7 linked regions of the Ovis aries genome follow. The protein of the gene in region 2 interacts with the protein of the main gene of each other region in a pairwise test. Links are inferred from orthologs where the notes say so. Each region holds a gene or a part of one and is shown on either strand. Other genes may lie near its edges.

What was found.
Region 1: the proteins of VPS52 (region 2) and RNF41 interact in binary tests that used the Homo sapiens proteins (3 or more experiments, as listed by UniProt). The link is inferred for Ovis aries from reciprocal best matches to the Homo sapiens genes VPS52 and RNF41.
Region 3: the proteins of VPS52 (region 2) and AAMP interact in a two-hybrid assay, tested with the Homo sapiens proteins (2 studies listed by BioGRID and IntAct). The link is inferred for Ovis aries from reciprocal best matches to the Homo sapiens genes VPS52 and AAMP.
Region 4: the proteins of VPS52 (region 2) and PPP1R18 interact in binary tests that used the Homo sapiens proteins (3 or more experiments, as listed by UniProt). The two-hybrid records come from large-scale screens. The link is inferred for Ovis aries from reciprocal best matches to the Homo sapiens genes VPS52 and PPP1R18.
Region 5: the proteins of VPS52 (region 2) and NFKBIB interact in binary tests that used the Homo sapiens proteins (3 or more experiments, as listed by UniProt). The two-hybrid records come from large-scale screens. The link is inferred for Ovis aries from reciprocal best matches to the Homo sapiens genes VPS52 and NFKBIB.
Region 6: the proteins of VPS52 (region 2) and MFAP1 interact in binary tests that used the Homo sapiens proteins (3 or more experiments, as listed by UniProt). The two-hybrid records come from large-scale screens. The link is inferred for Ovis aries from reciprocal best matches to the Homo sapiens genes VPS52 and MFAP1.
Region 7: the proteins of VPS52 (region 2) and GOLGA1 interact in binary tests that used the Homo sapiens proteins (3 or more experiments, as listed by UniProt). The two-hybrid records come from large-scale screens. The link is inferred for Ovis aries from reciprocal best matches to the Homo sapiens genes VPS52 and GOLGA1.

The regions. Positions count from the first base shown.
Region 1 is NC_056056.1:163,342,686-163,346,185, reverse strand, and holds part of RNF41 (E3 ubiquitin-protein ligase NRDP1), read right to left. Parts: exon of another isoform or gene 1,192-3,500; coding exon 920-1,191; exon of another isoform or gene 226-919; coding exon 90-225; exon of another isoform or gene 1-89. UniProt on the Homo sapiens protein: Acts as E3 ubiquitin-protein ligase and regulates the degradation of target proteins. Polyubiquitinates MYD88. Negatively regulates MYD88-dependent production of pro-inflammatory cytokines.
Region 2 is NC_056073.1:7,583,037-7,586,051, reverse strand, and holds the end of VPS52 (vacuolar protein sorting-associated protein 52 homolog), read left to right. Parts: intron 1-1,200; coding exon 1,201-1,312; intron 1,313-1,480; coding exon 1,481-1,599; intron 1,600-1,804; coding exon 1,805-1,951; 3' UTR 1,952-2,515; downstream 2,516-3,015. UniProt on the Homo sapiens protein: Acts as a component of the GARP complex that is involved in retrograde transport from early and late endosomes to the trans-Golgi network (TGN).
Region 3 is NC_056055.1:220,305,940-220,309,936, reverse strand, and holds the start of AAMP (angio-associated migratory cell protein), read left to right. Parts: upstream 1-1,197; 5' UTR 1,198-1,248; coding exon 1,249-1,369; intron 1,370-1,837; coding exon 1,838-1,993; intron 1,994-2,641; coding exon 2,642-2,761; intron 2,762-3,274; coding exon 3,275-3,414; intron 3,415-3,668; coding exon 3,669-3,813; intron 3,814-3,997. UniProt on the Homo sapiens protein: Plays a role in angiogenesis and cell migration. In smooth muscle cell migration, may act through the RhoA pathway.
Region 4 is NC_056073.1:27,438,566-27,442,571, reverse strand, and holds the start of PPP1R18 (phostensin), read right to left. Parts: upstream 2,801-4,006; 5' UTR 2,728-2,800; exon of another isoform or gene 2,076-2,727; intron 992-2,075; 5' UTR 965-991; coding exon 1-964. Other genes in the region: NRM (nurim), read right to left, coding at 3,519-3,800.
Region 5 is NC_056067.1:47,982,114-47,986,238, reverse strand, and holds the start of NFKBIB (NF-kappa-B inhibitor beta), read right to left. Parts: upstream 2,801-4,125; 5' UTR 2,736-2,800; coding exon 2,557-2,735; intron 329-2,556; exon of another isoform or gene 256-328; intron 1-255. Other genes in the region: SIRT2 (NAD-dependent protein deacetylase sirtuin-2), read left to right, coding at 3,174-3,189, 4,024-4,070. UniProt on the Homo sapiens protein: Inhibits NF-kappa-B by complexing with and trapping it in the cytoplasm.
Region 6 is NC_056071.1:53,261,622-53,265,121, forward strand, and holds part of MFAP1 (microfibrillar-associated protein 1), read right to left. Parts: intron 2,369-3,500; coding exon 2,149-2,368; intron 1,037-2,148; coding exon 907-1,036; intron 638-906; coding exon 450-637; intron 1-449. UniProt on the Homo sapiens protein: Involved in pre-mRNA splicing as a component of the spliceosome.
Region 7 is NC_056056.1:10,987,164-10,990,663, reverse strand, and holds part of GOLGA1 (golgin subfamily A member 1), read right to left. Parts: intron 2,828-3,500; coding exon 2,730-2,827; intron 1,240-2,729; coding exon 1,207-1,239; intron 1-1,206. UniProt on the Homo sapiens protein: Involved in vesicular trafficking at the Golgi apparatus level. Involved in endosome-to-Golgi trafficking. Mechanistically, captures transport vesicles arriving from endosomes via the protein TBC1D23.

The sequences.
Region 1 (3,500 bases), on a different chromosome or scaffold from region 2:
AACCAGGCTCACAAGCACAGGCACAGATCCGCCGCTCACATCCGTGCCTATCAACCACAGGCACACACTCTGTGTTCTCCAGGCCCTACCTGCTCCGCCAGCTGGTGTTTGTGTTCCGCTGAGGTCTTTTCCAGCTCTGCAATCCGTGTCTGCTGCTGCTGTACCACTGAGCGCAGGTGCTTAATACAGTTGTGGTTTGGCAGCTCATCTTTGGGCATCTCCAGGCTGCCACCCAGGGTGGGAAAAGAACACGACAGGAGCGTTCAATGAGATATGTGGCACAGGCAGGTAACTGCTGAGAGGGCTTTTCTCTACCGGAAATTACTAACATTCATTCATTTCTAACATTCTCTTGTTTACTGCCTTCACTTCCTTCTCCCCAGCTCCCCCACCCACCATATCCCTTTGCTGTCTTCTTCCTCTGGGCCTCTTTCCTTCTCCAAGACAGTGTTTTATCTCCCACGTGGCTCTGCGTTCCTCTTACAGATTCTGCCTGTGGACTCATTCCTTCTGAGAAGCCCTAGATTCAAAGCCCCAGCTATCAGTATTTAATCAAATATCTTACACCCCAAAGAAAGACAAAATAGGACCAGAGGTAACATGAAAGGCCTGGAAATTAGAGCAGTGAATCTGACAAAGAGAAGTAGTACTGGACAAAAGGGAGGAATAAAGTAAATCAGTCTTTAGTGGTATCACACAGATTGCTGAAGCGGTCTCCCTTCTCTTACTAAAGCAAGAGGACAAAGACTGTAGCTCGGAAAGCAGCACAAAACAGATCCTGGAGCAGGGAGCCAGGGAGGCCAAGAGCACTCCTTGCCTATGCACACAGGAGACCTCTTCAGCAGGGAGTGGGAGGTCCACAGATGGGTATAAACGGGAAGACCCCTCTCTGTGGGCAGAAGAAAGGCAGGACTCTTACCCGCAGCCCTGTTCACAGGTCACAGGCCGTTTGGGGTTGTGCTCACAGTCACTGAGGTGAGACATGAGGTTGTCAAGCCGGACGATAGCACTGCAGCCGAACACAGCGTTGTCGCAGGCAATCTGCAGCTTTGACAGCATGTTCCGCATGATCCGAGGTACTGGGCGCAGGTGGGCGACCGTTACAACGCTCCGGTCCACCGGACACGTCTGCTGCTGAGAGAACCACTGGGTGATGCAGGCATTGCAGAAAGCATGCTCACAGTGAGGGGCCTGGAAGAAGTTAAAGCAGGGCAAAGGGGACACAAGAGAATTAGCGGAGCCAGGAGCCTGGGGACGATAACTCTGCAAAGCCGATCAAGCCGCTGTGCAGCTTCCAGCGCCAGAGGTCCCTGGGGTCACGGCAACAGTGAGATCTGCGATGGGTAAGGCTTCAGATGTGTTTCCTGTGCTCAAGATTCCAAATGGATTGTGACATAAGACAAGTAAAAAGTTATATAACAATAAGAACTATAAATAACATTCCAGGACAGTGAGTGCAAGACATAAGGTGGTCAATTATTAAATGCCAACTGGATTACAAATATACAATAATTGGCCAAAAAATCCAGAGGAGGGTGAGATCTTTCCAGTCTAGGTCAGTCAGGGCAGGTATTTATGGACAGGACAGAATTTGATATGGGTCCTGAGGGATGAACTGGGGGGAGGGGGGCAGAGACTTACTGGCAAAAGTTCATTTTTCTTTGGCTGCGAGACCTCAGTTCCCCAACAAAGGACTGAACTTGGGCCACAACAGTGAAAGTGCCAAATCCTTAACCATTAGACCACCAGGGAGCTCCCCCAAGTTCTTATGTTATGAGGCCCAACCCGAGGTGTTGCCCTGAGTCCCAAGGAGCAATGCCTACGCTCCAAAACAGGTCTAGATTTTTGTAGAATCACATTCTCTTCAGTTTCATAAAGATCATATTTCAGCCTACTTCCTTGATAATGCAAAGTGAGAGGATTCTCTGGCCTCCAGCATGGGACAGACAGAGCGGGCACTTACTAGATGTTGATGAATGGATGAATGATGCTGAGCGCTTTTTTATGAGCCAAACATTTTGCTACGTGGTTAAATTTAAAAAGGTAAGACAGTTTCTGCCTTCAAAATGCTCAGATTGTAACATACAAAGGCTTCATAAGAAAAGAAGTCATTATCAATATCATTAATCCAACTGTCACTTTCGCTGAAAGTGAATCAAATAATATTTGATTCTTTTCAAAATCTTAGACCCTATCTCAAAAATCCTAGGTGTGTCCACTTTTCTCCATCTGTACTACCACTAACCCAGTTCAAGTGATCACCTCTCATCTAAATTATCATGTCTTCTAACTGGTCTTCCTGCTTCCACCTTACCCCTTTATAATCCACCCTACACTCAGCACCTGGAGTGATCATTTAGAAATGCAAACTGGATCATATTCCTCACCTGTTTAAAATTTTACAATGGTTTCCCATTACACCTAAAATAAATCCAAACTCCTGCCCAGGACTTAAAAATTCTGTTTGATCTGGCCCTGTGCCTCTCCTCACACCATGCTCCCAGCACTGACTTCAGGCCCTTCTGGCATTCTCTCTTCCTCATCCCACCCTGCTCATTACTGTCTCTTGCTTTTGCTGCTCCCCTTTGCTGGCCCCTTATCGTTCTGATCTCAGCTCAGTTGAACCTCTTTCATGACCTTTCTATCTAAACCTGCCACCCCTGCGGAAGTATACAGAAGGCGCTACTTTTGTGTAAGAAAGGTAGGCAAATATATGTGTACATTCACACTTGCTTGTATCTGCCCCCATACACACTGGAAGGATACCAAATTAACAGAAATGGCTATTGATGAGGGGATTAGGTGGACTGGGACAAAGATGAATTAAGACTTTTCACCATACATCTTTTTCTACTGTTTTGATTTCTAAACCATATGACTTTATTATCTATTTTTAAAAAAATGATGTAGGGAAATCAGCATCCCTAGCAGAAGTTTTCTGTCCTTGGACATGCGTCTATTAACCTGGCTTGCTCCTCAGACAGTAAAGCCTGAGTGGGTGGGGGAGGATTTTCTGTCTCAGAGAGTCACTAACTGCCACTGATTTCTCCACACGTGACTCACCTCAAATGACGGTGCCAGAAAACAGACAAGGCCCTGTCAGGGTGGAGAGGGAACTGACACACCCCATGACCTCTTGACACCACGAGGACAGCCTGCTCCACACCCAGCCAATCTGCTTCTAATGGCATGCGTGCGTGCTAAGTTGCTTCAGTCATGTCTGACTCTTTGCAACCCTATGGACTGTCGTCCACCAGGCTCCTCCGTGTCTATGGGATTTCCCAGGCAAGAATACTGGAGTGGGTTACCATTTCCCTCTCCAGGGGATCTTCCTGACCCAGGGATCGAACCTACATCTCTTACATCTCCTGCACTGGTAGGCAGGTTCTTTACCACTAGCGCCACCTGGCAGCAGGCTGCAAAGGCAGGCGATAGGGCCAGGGCTTGCTGTCACTGGAATGCATTCTGATTTTCATTCAGTTCAGTCATCTGTGTTCCTT
Region 2 (3,015 bases):
TTTATTTGTACAAGAAATGGAGTCATTTGTCACGTAGAATGCCGTACAGTCTGGATTTTGCTGCCTGCCTTGCATAGCATGCCTAAGCTATTCCTCTTTTCCCATAAATGTGTGATTCAATGGAAACGCTTGATCAGATTCCAGGTAGATTTTTTTTACAAGGCTGTTTGAGAAGTAGTGGTGTGTACTTCTCTCAGGGCACTTAATGTCTTCTTGGCTTTCTTTTTGCCAGTGGCCATCAGTGATCACCACCCAGACCATTAGATTTCTAAATCTCTCAATGTCTCAAAAATTTCCATCTCCTTATCTGTGCTGCATTTTGAGTCATTTCTTCAATTGTAAATTCCAGTTTGCTCAGTCATTTTTCCAGGTACATCCAGTCTGCTGTTTAGCCAGCTGACATAAAAAAAAAAAATTTTTTTTAATGTTTTTTTCTAAATCATTTCTTTTAAATCCCATTTTGTTTCAAGTCTGTTTCTGATCTTGGTAGTAGGTCACGTTTGTGTGGCGTCTTTAACTTCTTTGAACATTGCATACAGAATATGCAGCTGCTCTGTGTGTGACAGTTTTAACACTGGCAGTCTTCGGAGGTCTAAGTCCACTGCTTACTGTCTATTCTGACTCGTCGTAGCTTGCTTGCTTCTGTGACTGGGTATCTTCGGGCTCTTTTCTTGGTCTCAATCAGGGGTAGTCATCGGGGCCTAAATGGGGATCAGGGAGGTTTCAGAGAAGGCTTGCCTCTGCTTTTGTAATAGCTGAAAGTTGCCATCCACCTGGGTCTACACTGGCACCTCTGAGAGGCTCTCATGAGACCAAGCTCAGCATCTCCACTCAAGGCCTGCATCAGCTCAGCTTCCTGATAGCAGAGCTGCCGTGACCACTTACTTTTTTGTAGCCCTGCCTCTCCCAGGCGCTCAGGGCCCACTTCTCTGGTTCTGGCCCTCTGCTCCCAGCTCACTTTTTTAAATTTAAACAAAGGTTTTGTGGCTTATTTATTTATTTTGAGAAGGGAGGAGATTTCCCCTACGTCTTGTGAGACCGACAGTGTCTTAAAGTATATGACCTTTCTAGAGGTTCGCTGTTGTTATGGGAGTGTTCTAAGGACCTAGTTGGTCATGGTGCCAGAATTGGGAAAAGTCTGCCCCCCCCCCCCCCCCCCCGGAATCTGAGCTCTGTGTGTGTGTGTGTGTGTTCCTACAGGAATTCATTGAAGAGTTGCTGTCTCCCCCCTTTGGGGGCCTGGTGGCATTTGTAAAGGAAGCCGAAGCTTTGATTGAGCGAGGACAAGCGGAGCGACTCCGAGGGGAAGAAGGTCTGAGGATGGGGTGGATGGGGTGGGGTGAGGGGAAAGAGGATGGGAAAAGAAAACTGCAAGGATGCAGATTACATGGGGAGGGCGAACACCAGAACGGGGTTGCAGGGTGAGGACCTAGCGGGATCAGACATCACTTAGCCATGATCTTTTTCCTCCTCCTCTCAGCCCGGGTTACTCAGCTGATCCGTGGCTTCGGCAGTTCCTGGAAATCATCGGTGGAGTCTCTGAGTCAGGATGTGATGCGGAGCTTCACCAACTTCAGAAATGGAACCAGCATCATCCAGGTAACCTGTGACTCCCGGTCCCCATTCGCACCCCGCCCCATCACTGGTTTGCCCTCCTCTTTTCTCGGGGCTCGGAATCATACAAGTGACCCTTGATCTTCAACTACCAGCTGTGCCCAAAGTTCTGGCCGAGCCCTAAGCTGACGGCTATCATCATCCTTAGAATCACCCTGCATCTCATCCCTCCGTGACTTTCTCTGAGCAGGGAGCTTTGACCCAGCTGATCCAGCTCTATCATCGCTTCCACCGGGTGCTGTCTCAGCCACAGCTGCGAGCCCTCCCTGCCCGGGCTGAGCTCATCAACATCCATCACCTCATGGTGGAACTCAAGAAGCACAAGCCCAACTTCTGAGGCGCCGGGCCCTGGGGGCCACCAGCCCTCTCCATGGACTTCTGAGCCCCATCCTATCCCCCTTTTCACCCGGGGCTCCCTGCCAGTGCCCCTTTGCCTCCTAGGCTCTCACAGGCCTCACTCTGCCTTCATTCCTGGGACTGTGCTTCGTCAGGATAAGCCGGATCCCCTTGGCTTTGGGCATGTCTCATGTCCAAGTTTCCCAGGACCACTCGCTCCTGGGCTTCCAAACTAACCTCCGTTATCTTTCCAGTGTTGTCATTCCGCTCTTTCCTCCCACTGCCCCACCCCCAAGGCCTTTTTCTTCTCCCAGTAAAACCTTCTGGTTCACTCAGCTCTTGTCATCGTGGCATGAGGTGTGACGCCTCGACTCTTGGAATTGTTGTGGCAAGGGAAGACTGTCTCATAACGGTTGACTTTTTTTTCCCTTCCACTCAGTGATTTATTTTCTGTAGCTTTTTGACCTAAGATCTCAGCAACTTGAACACTAATCAGTCGCCTCCTGGCTTCAGAGTTACATCAAGGTCAGTGTGCAGAAAACAATAAATACTTAATATGATACAACACTCTTTTCCCATTTCTTTTCTCCTCCTCCTGGGAGAGGAGGTCCTTCAAGTAGCCCCGTCTCTGCCCCAGGATCACCTTTGCTCTCTGCCTCCTGGGCCTGCATCCCTTTCTGGTGGGTGTCCAGAAACTCGGGGCCGTGGTTACCTCTAACCTGCAGCTCCTTCAGGCCAAAGTGGCTGCATTGGTTTTAGGGCGGGAACTGTTTCAGGAGTAACCAACCTGGCTGAGGAAGTGACCCTGGTGAAAACGGCAGATGCCGGCCGCCTCGGCTCCTCTAAGGCAGACACCGGCTCTCCTTGCCTCTGGCCTCCCCAGGTTGACGCTGGGATTGCCTTCTCTCCTTGAGGGTCAGCTCCCTAGCTCCTCCGGTGCGACCGTCACAGCCCTTGCTAGGGGGCTGCAGTTGCCATTGCGCTGGGCCGTGAGCAGGCCAGGTCTGCAGTGTGGCCATCTCATCCCTTCCTGTGTCTCGGCCCCTTCCTGCTGCTGCCGCCTTA
Region 3 (3,997 bases), on a different chromosome or scaffold from region 2:
GTCAGTTAAGAGAAGAGGAGAAGAAAGCCTAGGGAGGACTGGTTGAGATCTGAGGAAGGGGAGTGACTGCAATTTGGAGTAACAGGTGCCTGAGAGAGTCCAGAGGGAAATGGGAAAATCGCCATCGAGGTGGCACCTTTGAAAGCCGCTTCCACGTCACTGCAGGCTCATCACCCTAGTGCCGGGAGAGCGAGCTTCGCTGTTCTTCATCTCCTCAGACCTCAGGATGTGAAGGGACTGCAGTGGGGCTCGCGTGAGACGTGTGAAAGAAAATCCGAGAAATGGTTTGCAAACTGCAGAATGTTAGCACTGGAGGGGGAGCTTAAAGGTAGTCTACTCCATCCCCTCATTTTATAGAAGAGGAAACTGAAGCCCCAAGAGACGAACCGCTTCGCCCAAGGTCAAACTGCTAATTATCCGGGGCTAGAACCCAAGCCTCCAGAAGCCCAGGGCCCTTTTCCTCTGCACTGCGGTGAGTGTGAAACACCTGGAGCGCGGGGGTCTAAAAGGCTTCCTTGAGGCTCCCTTTCCGTGCAAGACCCCAGAGGTGTCGTAGGCTGAGGGATGGACTGGTTGACTTTTAAAGAGCACCTTTTAGCCCCCAGACTCTAAAATCCTGCAGAGGGATGCGGGCAACAATCGACAGCCCTGAACTCCTGCTACAGCTTAGCGGGATGTGAAAAAAAAGGGTATCCCCTCCAGTCCCGCCCTCCCCGGGGTCCCTCTCCTTACCCCGGAGAACGCGGGCATTTCTCGCCCCTCGGCCCTTCAGCGCCGTAGCAGCTACCACCGCCGCCATGTTCAGATCCCACCCCCCCTTCACCGCAGTCCCCGCTGGGAATTGTAGTTTGCGTAAGGGGCCTCCCCCGCTGTATCCGTCCGGCCTACAGATCAGAAACTACAACTCCCAGAAGCCCAAGCAGCGTACCCAAGAGAACTACTCTTCCCAGGAGAGCCCGGAAGCGCGCACACTCGCTTGTTTCCCTCCTGTTGGGGGCGGAGTCAGGTCGGGCAGAGTTTGGGTTCTCCTCTCCACGCCTCGGCCTCGTCTCCCGCTTCTGCCCTGTGATTGGTGACTCAGCCGGTCCACCCCTTTCGCTATTGGTCAAGAGGCCGTCGCTCTCCCTGCCGGGGAGTCGCCTACGCCTACTTCCTCCCGGGAGGAGGGGCCCGAGTTCCGCGTCGTCGCGCAGAGCTGACTCTGGGAGGCGTTTGGGCCCAGAGAAGTGGGTCCGCCGCTTGCGCCGCATGGAGTCCGAATCGGAGAGCGGGGCCGCTGCTGACACCCCCCCGTTGGAGACTCTAAGCTTCCATGGTGACGAAGAGATTATCGAGGTGGTAGAACTGGACCCTGGTCCTCCGGACCCGGGTAAGAGCTGCGGATCCTCAGGCCATGGGACAAGAGGCTCTTACCCCTGGCTTTTGACCCCGGCTTTTCCCCCCTCTGCTCCCCACCCCACCCCACCTATCATTCCTACTTACCTCCTTCGCCCTTCCCCTCTCCCCCAGCCCCACACTTAGTTCTCAGGCCTGGCCCGGGGTGGGGGTTCCCCTGACGCCTCCCCTGGCCCTTCCCCTCACACACCCCCTTCCCATCATTCCTTCGGTCCTCCCTTCCCACACGGTCTCTGGCCAACCCCAGATCCTCAGAGCTCTCCGGTCCTTCGTTCCGCACGCCCCCTCCTCCCTGCCGCCTCTCACCCCCTCCCCGCTTCACCCCTCCTGTCTGACCTCACCTTGCCCTCTCGCCACATGACCACCCCAGCCTCGGGCCTCCCCACACTTGCCATCCCTCTTCCCGCCTGCCGCACACCGTCTGTTAACCCTCTCCCCAAAGCAGACGATCTGGTCCAGGAGATGGAAGATGTGGACTTCGAGGAAGAGGAAGAAGAAGAGGGCAATGAGGAGGGCTGGGTCCTGGAACCCCAGGAAGGGGTGGTCGGCAGCATGGAGGGCCCCGACGACAGCGAGGTCACTTTTGCATTGCATTCTGGTAGGTCCCTGGGGAGAGCTGTCCTAAGATCAGTCCAGGTGGACATTAGAACATCATCCGCTGTGTAGCGGTGGGAAAATGTTGCCTTTGTGGTGGAGGAGCTGTTGGCTCCTGGAGTCGGTTGAGACACACTTGGGTTCAAATCCTGTCTCTGCTATTTGGTTGTTTATGATCTTTATTGACGTCTCTAGGCTTTAGTTTCCTTTTAAAAAGTTGTCATTGATAAAAGTTCCTTTACTCTGAATTAGGGATAATAGTACCTTATGGATAAACCTCTTAAATATTAACTTTTGATAAGGAACCAGTAACACAGGCTTTCCTCACTCAGCCCCCAACCTGGTGGCATCCCACTCTGAGAACTGTAAGCCCTACACACGTCCCCTCCTCTTGTCCACCACAGAAGTGTGGGGTGAAGGGAAGAGCGCAGGAGGGTGATGTGTCCTGGGGAGGGACTTAGAATTTGGCAAGCTTGGGGAGGACTTCAACAACTGAATGCTTGAAACTTAGAAGAGCTTGGATGCACTCTTCTTTTCTAGGAAGAAAGACATGTTGCTTTAGGTGGAACGGGGTGGGCTCCCCAAAGGTCCTGAAGGACGGGACCTAGGTGGGATCCCCACTTCCTTACTCTTGGAATATCTCTTGGGACAGCATCAGTGTTCTGTGTGAGCCTGGACCCCAAGACCAACACCTTGGCAGTGACAGGAGGCGAAGACGACAAAGCCTTTGTGTGGAGGCTCAGCGATGGGGAACTGCTCTTTGAGTGTGCAGGTGAGGGGGCTCGATGAAGTCCTGCCTCTTTGGAGGTCTTAGGGGGCTGGCCTGCAGTGGTTGTACATCCAACAGCCATTTATTGACCTCTGTTTTGCCAGCTCTATGCTTATCCCAAGAGCCCCAAAGAATAGCCTAGTCTTTTGTGGGCGTGGGGGAGGGAGACGCTGATTGGCCAAGGGAGTCAGGGAAAGAGTTGGAGGAGGCGGCACTAGTGACGGAGAATGGGGGTGGGAAGGAGGCTGTGGATATTTCAGGCAGAGGTGTGATGTGGACAGAATGGGGAAGACATAAGTCTGGGCTACACACGGTCAAGTGGGGGCCCAGCAGTGTCTTGCCTGGGGAGAGCTGGGGGTGTTGGCCTCTGCAGCAGCTCTGAGTTTGGTTACCTGTTCTGTGGGGACTCATCCTGTTTTTCCAAGCTGGTACTTTCTGGGGGCTGGACACCTGGGTCCTGTATCCCCAGCACCAGGTACCCCGACATTCTCTTCTCTTTCTGCTCACTCTCTGCAGGCCATAAAGACTCCGTGACTTGTGCTGGTTTCAGCCATGACTCTACCCTAGTGGCCACAGGAGACATGAGTGGTCTCTTAAAAGTGTGGCAGGTGGACACAAAGGAGGAGGTCTGGTCGTTTGAAGCAGGAGATCTAGAGGTGAGACTGTCACAGTAGGATTCAACTCTGAGGGCCGAGTGGAGTGGGGAGAGCTCAGGGGCCCATGCCACCTTGAACGGATCAAGCCAGCTCTGAGCCAGTGCTCTCCCAGAGGATAGCAGGAGTGTCTGGGCCCGTCACCTGGGATGTCCCCACTGACTCGGTAGCAGGGAGAGCTTGGTGGAGTTCCGGGGGCAGGCTTCTAGGCAAGATGGGGTAGGGGGTACCCCTGTTGAGCCTTTGTCTCTGCCCAGTGGATGGAGTGGCACCCTCGGGCACCTGTCCTCCTGGCGGGCACGGCTGATGGCAACACCTGGATGTGGAAGGTTCCGACTGGTGACTGCAAGACCTTCCAGGGCCCCAACTGCCCGGCCACCTGTGGCCGAGTCCTCCCTGATGGTGAGAGTGGCATTCCTGAGTGTGGACACGTGGGGTCTGGGTTCCATACCTTCCTGGCACCCTCCTGGGCCATGGTCAGCAAACTCCGAGGTCTGCTGTTGGGAGCAGGGACCTCCCAGGACCAGAGCAAACAGCTCCCCCTTTCTCACCCGGAACTGGGCCTTCCTTGGGGCACTGTCTGCTC
Region 4 (4,006 bases), about 20 Mb from region 2:
CTTCTGCTCCCTCTGGTCCTGCAGAGCGACTGTCTGGAGCCTCCCTTGTTGGGGTCTCTGACGACGCTGTGGTCCCTTCTGGGTCCATTCTTGGAATCGGCCTCTCGTCTTTTCTCCCCCATTCCTCTGAGCAGTCTTTTCTTTCTTCTCCTGAACTCGGCCTCCACTCTGATGCCTCCAGTTGTCCCAAACTCTGTCCCGGAGACTCTTTGGGGTCAGGCCTCCATTTATGGGAGTCTGTCAGGCCCAGCTTCTGGTTGTCAGACTCTTCGGGGCTCCGTTTACTGTCCACCACCTCTGTTCTCCTGGGGCTTTGTTCTCGGGGCTCTGCCAGTCTCAAACTCCGCTCAGGAGTTTCTCCAGGGCTCAGCCTCCATTTCCGCACCTCTGACAGTCTAGAGCTCCTGTCTCCAGCCTCTCCTGGGCTCTGCCTCCAGTCCCGAGACTCCAAAGGCCTGGGGCTCGACTCTCGAGCGCCCCCTATCCCCAGCCTCTTCTCTCTGGCCTCCCTAGGACTGAGCCGCTCTTCCCTGGACTCTCTTCCCTTGGGGCTGGGATCCCGTGTCTCCCCGGGGCTGGGTCTCCGCCCCCGGGTCTCCAAAGGTCCAGGCCGTTTGTCCGTGAGTAGCTCTTCACTCCGCTGCTGTTGCTGCTGCTGCTGCTGCTGCTGCTGCTGCTGGCGCTCTTGCCGGATAAATCGGTTCTGGTGCACAGGCCCAATGGCCTCCAGGAGGACAGCAGACTCGTCTGGGTTTGGAGGTCCAGCCTCCGTAGTCCCAGGCGCAGGGCTAGGCTCCCCAGGAGACAGACCAAGCTTGGCCCGGCGGCGCTCCAGAAGGCCCCGCTTCCAGGCTGGCATCTGCGACAGCCGCTCCCGCTCTGCCGTCTCACGGCCGCGAACGGCTGCCTCTTCCTGCCGGCGCCGGGCTAGCAGCTGTAGCTTCCAGTCTGGGATGGTGGCCATGGTCGCCTTGGGGAGGGTGGGGGAACGCTGGGGGGCAGAGAACAGGAAGGAGAGGCTCCAGAGGGGCCCAGGAGGTGAGAATGGGGGTGGGGGAGAGGAAGCAGGGGGAGAGGTGGGTCACAGAGGAGCTGAGGGTGAGGACAGTAGGAAAGGGGGCGGCGGAGGGGAGCAGAGAAAGGGGAAAACCTGAGAAAGTGAAGAGGAAACTAAGAGCCAGGTGATGGGGTTGGGGGAGGTGGGTCGAGAGGAACAGTGGAGATTCAGGGCAAAGAGACAGGAGTCAGATTTGTGGGTACAGGTTACTGGGCATCAGAGACAGTCCCCAGGTTGTGAGAAGAGGGAAAAACGAAAGAAGCTGGCACGAGGGAGAAGAGAGAAGAGAGGCTGGGGGTGAGCGGGGCAGGATCCGACCGAGGTTGCCTGACCGCTACCTCAGGAGCGGCGGGAGTGGGAAGCGAGGTCAGCGGGATCCCCGGCGGAGAGGGGGCAGTGGGACCTGAAGGGGTGTCGGGAAGGTGGGAGGGCGGAGAGTGGACAGGTCCAGGGGAGAAGGGGGAATCGGGGGCAGAGGGGCGAGGGAGCTCGGCGGCTGTAGCCGGGCGAGTCTCGGCGCGGGCCCCGGAGGTCCGGGCTCCCCTTCCAGCTCCGCTTGAGCCACGCCTCTCAGACCCCCCAGCCCCCACCCCTCCGCCCTGCACTCCGCCCCGGGGCGGGCCAGGGGAAATACCCTCCCCCGGGGACTTTCGGAACCCGGCGATCGGAGCTGCCAGCTCGTTCCCAGAACCCTGGCGTCCACCCCCCACCAACCCTAACCCGGTCCGGGCCCCGCCGCCGGCCTCCCCCACCGGCGATGCCCCGGGGTCCCGGGCGAGCGAGCGCCTCAGGCGTACGGAGCACCGGCTCCACACCGCTTCTCTCCGGAGCCGGCCAGTCTCGCGCCGGGGTCTCGGCGCTCATGGAACCCCGACCTCGCCAGCCGTCCCCACCCGGCTATGACCGCACTGACGGGCAATCTCGGCACAAAGAGAGGAGAGGCAGCCCGAGGTCCGCGCCCGGGACGGAAGGGAGGGGACACCCCCTCCCCAAGTCTGAAGCCCCTGGGTCAACTCACATGCCGCGGGGCTCCCGGGGGAGGGGGTGCGAAGGAGCCTGACGTCCGGAGAGAGGAGGAGAGAGGAAGAGGAGGAGAGAGGGATAGAGGGAGATCCGGGGCAGGAGGTGGGGGGGGGCGCGGGGGGCGCGGGAGGGGGGAAGGGAGGAGAAGGGGAGGGACGGAGACAGACCCGGGGGCCGAGCGGGGGGCGGCCGCCGCTTTGTCTGAGGACAATGGGGAGAGGGAAGGGGGCGCTGGGCGGAGCCGGGCGCGGGGGCGGAGCCTCGCTCCCCGGGTCCCCCGCGTGGATCCTCGGCCCCGGGACTCCTGTTTTCCCGCCGCGATCCCCGGCACTCCGCGGTCCTTCCCCAGGGCCTCTCACGCGGCTGCCGCCCGGTAACCCTGGACAGCCCAGGTGTCCAGACCCCCACCCCCAGCTAGCCAAGCCGGGGCGGCGGCCCGTGACTCAGACCCCTCGAGGGACTTCGGGAGGAAGCGGCAGCTGCTCGGAGCCGGGCCCGCCCTTCCCATCTCCTGCCGCTCCTCCCCACGCTTTTGCCTTCCCGGGCCAGCCTTTGTTACCGTGGGGGCGCTTGCGGGGCCCGTGGGGAGGGGGCGGCCACAGGAGCAGGGCTGGGAAGACAACGGTTTCGGAAGCTCGCTCCCTTACCCGAACCGTCTCCCCACTCTTCCGTTTCAGCCCGTCCCCCACCCGGGTCTGCAGCAAGGAAATTGGGAGATTTGGAGGAAGGGGGACCGGGTGCTCCGGGAAGGGGGTGGAGGGCTGGGTGCGCGGGGAGTGGCCGCCGCCCAGCGGTCACCAGAAGGCGCGGCCGATGCCCAGACTCCAATGTAACTCGCCTTTCCCAGAGCCAGCCCTGCAGCTTTGAGAGACACTGACAGACTGCATTCTACACGTAGAAAAACCAGACTGAATTTTATTTTCCTGTAGCGTGAGTTCCTCGGGAAAGCAGGGAGCCTCTAGTCACCTTAGCTAAGAACGGGAGAAACCGCTCAACTAGGTTCAGGAGGATGGAGCCTAGGGTCGGGGCCTAGGGAGCTGAAAAGGCCAGACAGTGGGCCTCGGTCCAGCCCCTGGGAGGGAGCTAGACGTGGAGAAAGGATCCCTGAGGCACAGAGGGTAGTAACAGGGCTAAGGGAGTGGTCAAGCCAGACTCTTCTCTTGGTGAGGAAATTGTTAACGGAGGGTCAAGCCCTGAACTGTGAGAAGAAGTTCCCAGCCACTCCTTCCTGGCTGGTGAGAAGTGGCCCTTGGAGTCCAATGGCTGAAATTCAGTATGGAGCTGGAACCAAGGAGTGGAGGCTCAAGCAAGGAAAGGGACCACTCCTTCAGTCCATGGATTTGGGCCTCTGGTCTGAAGCAGCCAAGGCCTAGATGTTAAGGGAATTTGGGATAGGAGGGAGAGAGGAAGTACAGGGCTTGCAACCAGGGTTAACCCCTTACTCGGCCTCCCCATCCTGGGGCCGGGAGAGCAGGTGGAGTTTTCTTTGTAGCTGGGCCCGGAGATAGCGGAGATCATGCTGGTCCAGTCCGTGAGCCAGGCCCAGGTAGAGGGTAAGGAGGAGAGCAAGGAGCAGGCGGTCAGTGCCCAGGGTGGGTACCACCCATAGCACTGTCAGCAGCTCCACGCACACTGGATGGCGCAGGTGGGAGAAGAGTCTCAGAGCCCGGGGCGACTTCAGGGCCAGAGGCTCGCCCAGCCCCAGCACATGGTAGTACACCTAGCAGAGGGAGAATGGCTTAGGAATGGAGCCAAGCCCTTGTCACAACTTAACTGCCTCTTTCCTCCCGTCCTGGGCACCCTCCTTCTATGACAGGCTCAGGAACCACCCTCCTGAGACTGGAGGTCCCTGACCCTCATCTCTGGCCCATGAACCTTCCCAGGCCCAAGAAGCCCATGATTCCTAGCCTTTGAGGGAGGGCTGGG
Region 5 (4,125 bases), on a different chromosome or scaffold from region 2:
CATGCCGTGGGGCAACTAACGCCACGTGCCACAACTGCCTGTGTGCTCTAGAGCCCGTGCTCCCCAACAAGTGAGACCACCACTATGCGAAGCCTGCACAGCACAGCTAGAGAGCATACCCCGCTCGCCACAACTAGACAAAGCCTGTGTGCAGCAACCAAGACCCAGTGCAGCCAAAAAGAAACAGCTAAATAAACACAAATTTTAAAAAAGGAGAAGCTGTCAGAGTGGATAAAAAAGCAAAACCTAGGGTCTTCCCTGATGGTTTAGTGGTTAAGACGTTGCACTTCCAATGCAGAGGGCCAGGGTTCAATCCCTGGTCAGGGAACAAGATCCCACATGCTGCAACTAGAGCCGATGCAGCCAAATAAATTAAAAATAAACATTTTTTTTTAAAAAGCAAAACCTAACTATACAAGTAACAGCTTTTCAAATAAATTTAAAACTAAGTTAAGAATAAAAAGATGGAAAAAGATATACCATACTAACGCCTGTCAGTCAAAAGTAAGTAGGAGTGTTTTAAAATAAGAGTAAGATTTCAGAGCAAGGAATATTACCTGGGATAGTGCAGATTATTTCACAATGATAAAGAGGTCAGTTCAGGAAGAGGACACAATAAACCTAAACATTTGCACTCCTTATAACAGAGCATCCAGTCTCATGAAGGAAAACCTGATAAAACAACAAGGAAACCCACAATTATTATTAAAGATTTCAATACCTTACTCTCAGTAACTGATAGATCAAGTAGAGAGAAATTACCAGCAAGGATATAATAGACTTGGAAAAGAGAAGAACCAAAGAAACCAGCACAGGACTTACAGGTCTAGTGCTAAAGAATCCACCTGCCAAGGTAGGGAACACAGGCTCAGTCTTTAATCCGGGAAGATCCCACATGCCTCGGGGAAACTAAACCAACGCGAAGCAACTACTGCGCCTGTGCCCTAGAGACACTGCTCCGCAACAAGAGAAACCACCAAAATGAGAGGCCCTCACACCGCAACTAGAGAAAGTCCGTGGGCAGCAAGAAAGACGAAGCACAGCCAAAAGTAAATCAATAAAAGTTTTAGAAAAGAAACCCATACAACCTCTAACTGACATCTGGAGAACTACACTCAACAACAAGATACCAGACATTCTTTTCAACTGCACACACAATAGAATTTAACTACAAACCAATAAAAGGAAGGTATTCGGAATATCTGGAAACTAAATAACATACTCCTAAATAATCCACCGCCCAAAGAAGAAATCAAAGGAGAAATTAGAAACTATACTGAATTAAGTGGAAATGAAAGCACAGCACATTAGAAGTGATGAGATACAGCTCACGCACTACTTCGGGAAATTCACATGAATCCTATATTAGAAAAATAGGAAGGCCTCAAATCAATGACCTCAGCTTTCACCTTAAGAAACTAGAAAAAGAACAAAAATAAACTCAAAGTAAGCAGAAGAAAGTAAATAACGAAAGTCAAAACAGAGATAAACACAACAGAAAGCAAAAAAAGAGACGAGAGAAAATAAATGAAAGCACAGCTGGTTCTCTGGGAAGACCGGTGTTTCTTGAGCGCCTCCTATGGGTCAAACACCGTTCTGTCACTGGGGCTACGGCAGTAAACACAACACACAAAAACCCCGGGTACATTCCCTCAATTAGGTCTTTATGACGTCGTTCCTTCTACCTGGAATACTCTCCCCAGATAATCTACTTGTCTCATTCTTTCCTGCTTTATTTTTCACCAAGGAAATTCCTGTCTTCTGACACACCATTTTTCTTTCGTTCGTTTTTCTGCCTGTTTCTTCTCTCTCTCCTCTCTCTTTCTTACTTTGTGTCTATACGGCTCTCTGTTTCTTTCTTTCCTTCTCTCTTTCTTTTTTGTTTCTCCTACTGTTCCTTTCTTCCTTCCTGTCAGTCTGTCTGCCCTTCCATTTATAGACCCCCCACACTAGAACGTAAGCTCCACAAGGCATAAGTTGTTGTGCTTTCTTCACTGCTTTATCACCAGCATCTACAACTGGGCCTGAAACGCTGTAGGTGCTAGATAAATACTTGTTTAACAGATGAATCCTTGCTGTCATAGAGTTTACATTTTCTCTTTCAATGTAGGATTTGAAGATCAGTGCTCAGAAAGTGGGAGATCTTAGAGTCAAAAGCCAAATGTTAATTTTGGAAATCAAAATTTAAAGCTCCTAAATTAGGAGCTAAGGATCAAAGATCATATTTGGAGGTGAGATGTCAGAAGGAGCCTGTGAGCTATAGTTTTAAGATAGGTCTCAGGACTGGGGTCAGGAAGCTCAAATTGAGTTTTGAATGTGGAATTAGTCAATGGATATGAAACTCTGAGGGCCAAAGTTTCAGAAAGGACGGGGTTATGATAAAAACTAGCTTGGAAATTGATTTTATCAAGGGTTAGACTCGGGGGTTAGAGGTCAGAGTAAGCATTAGAAGACAGATTTAGGATTAAGAGGTTGGAAAATCAGTATCAGGGACTAACAGGGAATCAGATGTGGGATCATCCTAAGGCTCGGTGTGGCAGGCTAAGGTTCACTCACGTGTCGCCATCCTCAGTGACGTAGCCGAAAACGAGGGGCGCCCACGACAGCCCCGGGCCCAGCTCCGCGCCTAGCCCAGGTCCTCCAGGGGCCGCCGCGTCCGGACCCAGAGAGCCCAGGCCGCTGTCGCACCATTCATCGGCGTCCGCAGCTTTCCCCAAACACGCGACCCCGGCCATAGCCCCCAAAGCCTCAGGGGACCCCAGCGGCTGCCCGCCAGTCGCTGGGCTCTGCCTGGAATTCTGGCGCTTCCGCCCTGCTGGGAATTCCCCAACACTCCCCCCGGACTCATCCAATCAGAGTCGGCTAAATAGTAAGCGCCCCGCCCTCATACTACACCGTGACCAATCAGAGTATTCAGATGGACTGCGACTCTCTACCCTTTCCCACTCATTCCGCGCGCCCTTTACCAACATGGCTGCGGACGCGAGGCACTCTGGGATTCGTAGTCCGGCTCTCGCGTGTCTCTTCTTACCTCAGAGGGGCACGCTCCGGACGTTTTTCTATGCCTCCTGGGAGTTGTAGTTCTTTGACCTATCTCTGCCCCCCTCCTGTTTCCGGTGCCGTCACGGGATAGAGCAGTCGGTGACAGTCCCGAGGGCCCCCGCCCCGCGCCCATGGCCGATCCGGATCGTGAGTCGGGGGCCCTGGTGGGAGGGTCGGGCCGCGCCGGGGCCTGGCTGAGGGCTGCAGGCCCCGGGGCCCGAGGGCGGGAGTGGTGGGGCAGGAGATGGGGGCTGCATGGAGGGGAATGAGGTTCAGGGAGCCGTTGTGATATATATTGCTGGATAGATTGGTGGGTTTCTGGGTCTCGAGGTTTTAAGGGTCCGTTTGCCACTTCCCCTAAGTGACTAATGATAGCGTGTGTCTCGCACCTTAGTTGCTAAGGACCCTTGTTACTAGGGACTTAGAATACCGCTGTCCGGGTTGCTAAGGGTACCTGGTTGTTAGTGGGAACTGTAGGGTGCTGGGGACCCCTGGTGTCCCCTCCTATCTCTTCCTTCCTCTTGTAAACCTGCCATCTCGCCCTTCCGTTCCGCCCCCACCACCTCTTCTTGCAAACTTGCCTCCAGCCCCAGTATCCCTTATCTTCTCTTTCTTTCTACATTTTCTTCTGCTTGTAAACCTAACCCTCCCAGCACACACTCACACACTACTGTGTCCTTCCTAACTCCTCCTAAGTCTTCCTTCATGCCCTTATATGCTTTACTTTCTTTTCGCTTTCCTAAGCCTCCATGTCCCAGCCTCTTTGTCCTTCACCAACCACCTCTCCTCCCAGCACTCTCCACTCTAATAAGATCTGCTTTTCTTCCTTTCCCTCCCTCCATCTACTCCCTTTTGATACCCCCACCCCATATAACTAGGTTGGAGGTCTTGTTGCCCCTCTCTACCCCGACTTAGAAGCCCTTCATTCCCCCTTAACCAATCCCTTCACTGTAACCACGTCTGCTCCCCCTCCTCCCCCAGCCTCTGACCCTGAGGAGACCCAGGCAGGGAAGGTGCAGGAGGCTCAGGTGAGATGGGGACAAGGGTGGAGGGAAGGAGAGAGATGGACTTCCCACACCCCAC
Region 6 (3,500 bases), on a different chromosome or scaffold from region 2:
GCAGGTGTGTTTTCTTTAAGTGGGAAAGGAGATGTGAAAACTAACTCAGACTGCCACCAAGATGCGTGTGTGCGTGCTCTGTCGCTTCACTTGTGTCTGACTCCTTGCGACCCCATGGACTGTAACCTGCCAGGCGCCTCTGTCCATGGGATTCTTCAGCAAGGATACTGGAGTGGGTCGCCATCCCCTCCTCCAGGGGATCTTCCCAACCCAGGGATCGAACCCATGGCTCCTGCAATGGCAGGTGGGTTCTTCACCCGCTGAGCCACTTGGGAAGCCCAATACCAAGATACTCCTGAGCAAACACTCTGCTGAGCTGGGGCACTGGACAGAAGACTTTTACTTAGTGCCTACATTTCAGAAGAGCATGAGCGAGAAAAGAGGCTTCCGTCTCCAGACCCAGAAAGCAGTAATTATGTGGATTCAGGCCTGGTTTGTGACATACTTACTTCCGAATGAAGACTGGCTTAAGGCGAGGCTCCATTTCATCCTCACTGTCTGTGTACTCCTCATACTCAGACTCTGATTCGGACTCCTCCCCAGAACGTCCCTCGTCTTCCACCTCCATGACCTCCAGCTCTTCATTTTTTCTCTCCTGTGCTCTTTGGCGCATCATGCCGCGACGCCGTTCTATTTCCTATCAAGTTACATGTCCAGGCCAGTCAGCCAAATGGCCTGTGCACTGCAGTGGCTTTTTATTCTTACCTCATCAAGCTCAACAAATTCTGGTTGAGTATATGCAACTTAGTACCACTCTATTTCAATCCTATCCAAAACAAGTAGGGAGCACTGGATCAGACTTCTGCCAAAAGCAGATATCTTGTGCTTCTAAGGCCTCAACAAAGGAGCACTGGCCCTAATTTCTTCTTCCACCCAGAAAGAACTTCCCACTTTCCTTAACCATACCTCTTCATCAATCTCTTCTTCCTCTTCCTCACTGCTATCTTCTCGTTCCATGCGCCAAGGATCCCCTTCTACTTCAGAGTCACTTTCTCCAACCACTTCCGGTTCCACTATTTTCCGATGTCGAGCCAATCTGAAAGACAGTGTCTGACTGTAACACCAACCTCACCAAAAGGACATTTCCTCAGTCACAGAGTGCCAGGACATGATGTTTCCTTTTACTAGCACTGAAGCTCTGAGATGAGGAAACTGAGGTGCAGACTAGAGAAACTAACTCCAAGTGTCAGAAGAAATAGTCAAGTTGGACCTAAACCATTACATGTATGCTGAGGCACCCTGGGGCACTGTACCAAGCTAGATGGGTGCACTGGGATATACTGTAAAGCTCAACGTAGTTGAGTTTTAACAGCAGATCACATTATGTTTCCTTTCAATGGTATCGTGACTTTATAAACCTTTTTTTGGGCTGCTGTGATAAAAAGCAAGTTCTGCATGAAAGTCAACAGAGAACAGGAAATGAGTGACTGTGCCAAGGTGACTCCAAGGTTTGAGAAGTTGGTAGTGCCCAAGAGGCACACAAACCCCAAAGCTAAGTAATTGTGGTTATGCAAACATGAAATAAAAATGGTTTTTCTTTTATAGGTATTAAAGTTTTTAAGTTCCTAAGTTGCTAGGACATAAATATTTATTAAATCATTTGGCTCTAACTACTTAATAAAATAAAGAGAATTGTTTGGGCCTAGAGGCTCTGTGAAAGAACTCCTGAGAACATGAACTGTGAAAGTTGGGAACCTCTGGCTACTCTGTAAGGTAATGTCTCAGTCAATACAAAATACACAAAATCCTTCGTTGGAAGGAGTCCCTTTCTGACATGAGACCTCTCATCAGTCCTTTTCTCCTATTTTGTCAGTATCATTTCTCCTCATTAGCTTTTAGAATAACTACCTGGAAAAGGTCAATTTCTCAAATTTTAGAAAACATCTCTGTGCGACAAAGACCCCACAACAAACCAACCAGCGATCTGTGCTTTCAATCCCCTTGAGTCATTTTCCAAACCCCACTCTGCTGTAGTTTCCTGGCTTGTAAAAATGGGGAGAATCATACCCTCATAAAGTCATCATGTGGATTACAACAATTAGTTAAAGTAATATACCAGGAACAGTGCCTGGTGCACAGGAAGTGCGACTCAAGTATTAGCAGTTATTGCTGGGTTCACGCCCAGGATAACATAACCCTTGTCATTACCTCTCCTCCACATCTTCACTAATACGGTTCTGCAAACGCCGCAGCCGAGGGTCACTAGATGAATCCTCCTCCTGTTCCTCGGGCTCTGCTTCTTGTTCTTTGGCTTTCTTAATGAACTGAAACTCTTCATCCTCCTCATCTGAGGACTCCATAGGGGCATAGTCTGGCCTCTTTCCTGACACATAACGTTTTACCTTCACTTTTTCCATCGAAATTTCACCTGGGTAAGAAACAGAACTTACGTTTCAGTAACCTCTTTCCCAATGTCCTTCAACCCTTGGCCTTTCCAGGCAAAAAAGCCCTGTATTCCTGGCAAACCAGGTCCAAGCAGGGGAAGGAGCCCTGACCCAACCATCTATTCAACTACATCTTTTTCCTACAAAGGCCAAGTCATGAGAAGGCATTCCTGTGAACACCAGAACTAATGATAATGAAGTTTAGCTTGGGTACAATGAGTGGAGGAAGGGTGGGCAGTGAAACAATACAAAGTCCCTCCTAATAGGGAGACTACATCCACCTTAACTATATGCTTAAGTGAATTATTTGTAACAGTGCCCAGCACACAGTAAGGGTGACTTAAGTGGGAATATAAAATTAAAATAGCGTTCATTCTTTTAGTTCCTCAAGATATTTCTCTGGCAGTCTTTCTATAATCTATTACCACATAACTCCATCTTCTAATCTTTCTTTCTACCTTTTCTTTTAGCTTATGTGCTACCAAACCTGCAAGAGTAGATTATGTCTTTTACAACAGTTCCAATGAATAGAAAAACAGTGAAAACAAAGCAAAACATTTTCTAAGATGAATACAACTTGGATAACCAAGCTGGACAGTTCAAGGGAAAACTTTAGGTGGACTTCATTTACAAACATAGATACAGGCAACATAAAAACTAACCAAGAAGCCCCTCTAAACTATAGGGACATAATTAAAATTTAGCCCAGGACTACAAGGATGGCTTAACCTTAGAAAATTAACAGGGGGGAAAAGTAATGTACTTTTTAAAGTTTATATAATTACAGTCACACAATCTTAACAACAGATATAGCAAATATATTTAATGATAAAATATTAGAAGCACTCCTTTAAAAAACAGTAGGCATCGTTAGGTTGTCCCTATCATACCTTCTGATCAACATTGTATTATGGTTTCAGGGCAGTAAGAAAAGAAAGAGATAAAAGGTAAGAATTAAAAAGAAAGAAACTGCCACAATTTGCAACCAGTATGATTACTTATGTCGAAAATACAAGATAACCAGAGAAGCTTAAAAAATTCAAGTAGAAAGGTGTATAAATACTAGATAAAAATAAATGTACCTGTACATTGGCTACCTATAATTAGAAAATACAG
Region 7 (3,500 bases), on a different chromosome or scaffold from region 2:
GTGTATATATACATATTTCTTTTAAACACAAGTTTCTTTGGGAGATAGCTTGATTTTTCTATAATTCTTCCCTTACATAAATATGTTAAGACATTCTGATAGCTTGCATAATCAGATTTCTTTAGAACACACAAAGAAAACTGCTGGTTTAATTGGTGTTTTATCCCAAGAATGGTGCAATAATAAAACTCATTATTTTAATAAAATTAATAGTAAATATATTATATAGTTGAATATATCAATCTGAGAAATCATTTTCTATCATAAAGAATAAGTACTGAATGAAAAGAAGGAATGAATTAGGAAGCAGCATATAATTTGGGTTGAGCAAACTGACAATTGATTATTTTAAATTAAAATGTGTTTCTAATTGTAGGTGTGAAATTTCATTTTCCTGTTCATGTCTCAGAGCCAGGAACACATTACATAAGGCACCTACACAGTGTCATGGTGCTGGAATAATCAATTCTTCTCATCTATGTCTAGCTAAGAAGTTCTCTTATCTGCTCAGCATTAAGCCTTCAGAAATGCTCTCCTTCCCCACTGCATCCTCAAAAAGTATTCCCAGTGTTAACACCGTGTCAATCTGGGCTCTAGCAGGAAGCAGACTCAAATTAGGGATTTTGGAGAGTCTCATAGAGACTTTTCAAAGCTGTGGGTGGGGTAAGAAAATCCAAAAGAGATAATGTGCTAGTAGCATTGGGCATAAAGGGGGCAAAGGCATAAAGAAGAAACACAAGAAAGAGACAAGAAACACAGAAAGAGAAACTATATAGCTGAGGGTGAACCACAGGTAAAACTGAAGCTGTGACCTTTGGCCATGGGATGCAATCAAATAGAAGGGACCTCACGTGGAGATGGCTGGGGGAATAAACTTCTGATCACACTCTTCCACCTAGATCTTTTGGTGTTCCCCACTGGGGCCCTCAATTACAAGCCAGAGGGCAACGGAGCCCTGCTGATGCAGTCCCTATGGGCCTTCAGACACACAGAGAAAGGCAGGAGATGGGTAGAGAGTACACCAAGAAGGGCAAACAACAGATCACAACTATAAACGAAGACAAGAGCTTTCCAAGTCAGTGTCTAATCACCTGGCACCCTGCTGCCAAGAAGTGGTACCAGTGTACTAGGTACTGGAGAAAGCATTTTCCAAGCCCCAGAGAAGAGGCCAATATTCACAAGGAGACAAAAATAAGATGAACTAACCTTTTCAAGCTGATCCACTTTTTCTGACCATTCCTAAAACAAAACAATAAAGAAGTACAGTTTCCAGGCAAGAGTATCAACAAAATCAAGATTTTCAGAAAACAAAATAACCCTCCCACCTCACCCAAAGCAACATATCAATCAAACAAAATAGCACATTAAAAAAGCCACGATGTTGGCTTAACAGTAAGAAAGCCAAGAGTCCTAAAAGGAGAAGAAAATGAATTTTATATAAAATTCTAGAGCACAAATATAAGCCAGAAAACTTTTACAAAGCAGAGCACATAAAGCTATATAGCTCTTCTGATGCAGCTTTCACCTTCTTTCTGAGTCTCTGTCTCTGAGTACTGTTATTATTTCTTAGGAGTGGGTAGCAGGGAGCAGCTGAGTTGGTAACTCCGCAGTTGACACTTAAAAATTAATTTACTGAAAAAGAGGTGAACAGGGTGGTCTTCAGGAGTCCCTGATCATTATTTTCCTTCTCATTTTAATTTTTACCAATATCCTTCATGCCATCTGATAAAAGTTAAAGAAGAAAGGACTATGCCTCTTATTCACCAATCACAGAAGAGGGTAAAAAATAACCACTGGGACAAAAGGCTATATCCTAATTGCCTACAATCAAGTCCACCAATGCTAGATTATTTCTTCATTTACATTCACACCACAGTTATTCACTAAATATTGGTGAATGATGTTTTTTCCTAGCTGGTTAATGTCTGAGATGACTAATACACACTGTAAAACAAGTGTTATCATTATAATGCAAGCATGCTAAGTCGCTTCAGTTGTGTCTGACTCTGTGCGACCCCATAGATGGCAGCCCCCCAGGCTTCCCTGTCCCTGGGATTCTCCAGGCAAGAATACAGGAGTGGGTTGCCATTTCCTTCTCCACAATCATTACAATATTTGATGTTTATCCTAAATTTAAAATGCCACTGAACAAAATAAACTTTATAATTACTGTAATAACCAGTAATAGTATTATTTTCCTTTTCTACTGTCATTTATTCAGCATCTTTCAATGGATGGTTCTATTGAGGTTACAGAAATTCCTCTCAGTCTAGCTGGCTGGGGAAGAAGAAACTTGGGACAAAGGTTGTAAGAACTATGTACATCATGGATGATCGCTAGCTTAATAGCACCTTCTCCACTATAACAAGGTAAGTGCTTTGGGACAGGCTTTCAGACAGGTTTTTGGAGGGCAGAGATTCTTTTTTCCCTCATCTTGGGGGGAGCTCATCACCAGATTATGGACATACTACTTCTTTTCCTTCTCTATTTTACACAGCTACACAGTTGGAAAAGGATACTCACATATGGACACATTCTACGATCACAACTATAAAGTTTCTGGATAATTTCCCACCCTACAGCCAAATGAACTTTCAAAGAACTTACAAAGCACAATCCTTTTCTCCTAGATTGTACATATTTCCTACCAGGTTTATGGCATGAGTTTTGAAAGCATGTCGCCAAGTGAGACTTTCCCCCCAGTCTGGGCAGTGCCACACGTTAAATACCTGGTCCTTTCTGGCCAATGCCAAAGCCAGCCCTTCTGCCATTCTGGCTCTGTTGGCCTGGAACGTCTCATTCTGCTCTTGGAATTTCCTCATGGAAGCTGTTAATAAAGAGGCTCTCTTTGAGATATGGAGATATTTCAGAAACAGCGTGACAAACAGCCCATGTGATTGTAACACCTAACAAAAAAGGCCACGGTCACAAAAGTGGATTATGAGACTGGGAAAAACCTGACCCATCTTGACTTTCCCAGAAGCTTTCGGCCTTAGTAATAGACCTCAGTTCTGTTTTAGCTTGTTTCCTATTGGTTGCTGTTGTTGCTGTTGTTATAGTCAAGTATACACATTTAGGAAGATGTCAAAGGGTACTTTTAAAATGATACAGTGATAGAACACTGAGTCAGGTAGCCTGCCAGAAAACACCAGTGCTATTGCTAAGTGATGGCTACTACTATTTAATAGAATTAAAACAAAAGTCAGAACAAAGCAAAACAAACCTTTCTTTCACTTTATTTTCCTTAAAAAATTATTTTTTTTAGCACATATTATACCCATAAAAAATAACTTTCTACTTCTACTAGCATCTTTCTTGGACTGAACCCAAAGGAAAACATATAACTTAGGGTAAACTAAACAAAATGTATGTCCATTGTTGGAGGAGTGATGACAGAGATTTCCCCCAGTTATTGAACATAGCAGATACGGAGCTATGGCTAGAACCAAAGTTTCTTAATCTAGGCCCATGGACAGGCCCTAGATTTTCCTAAAATCTAA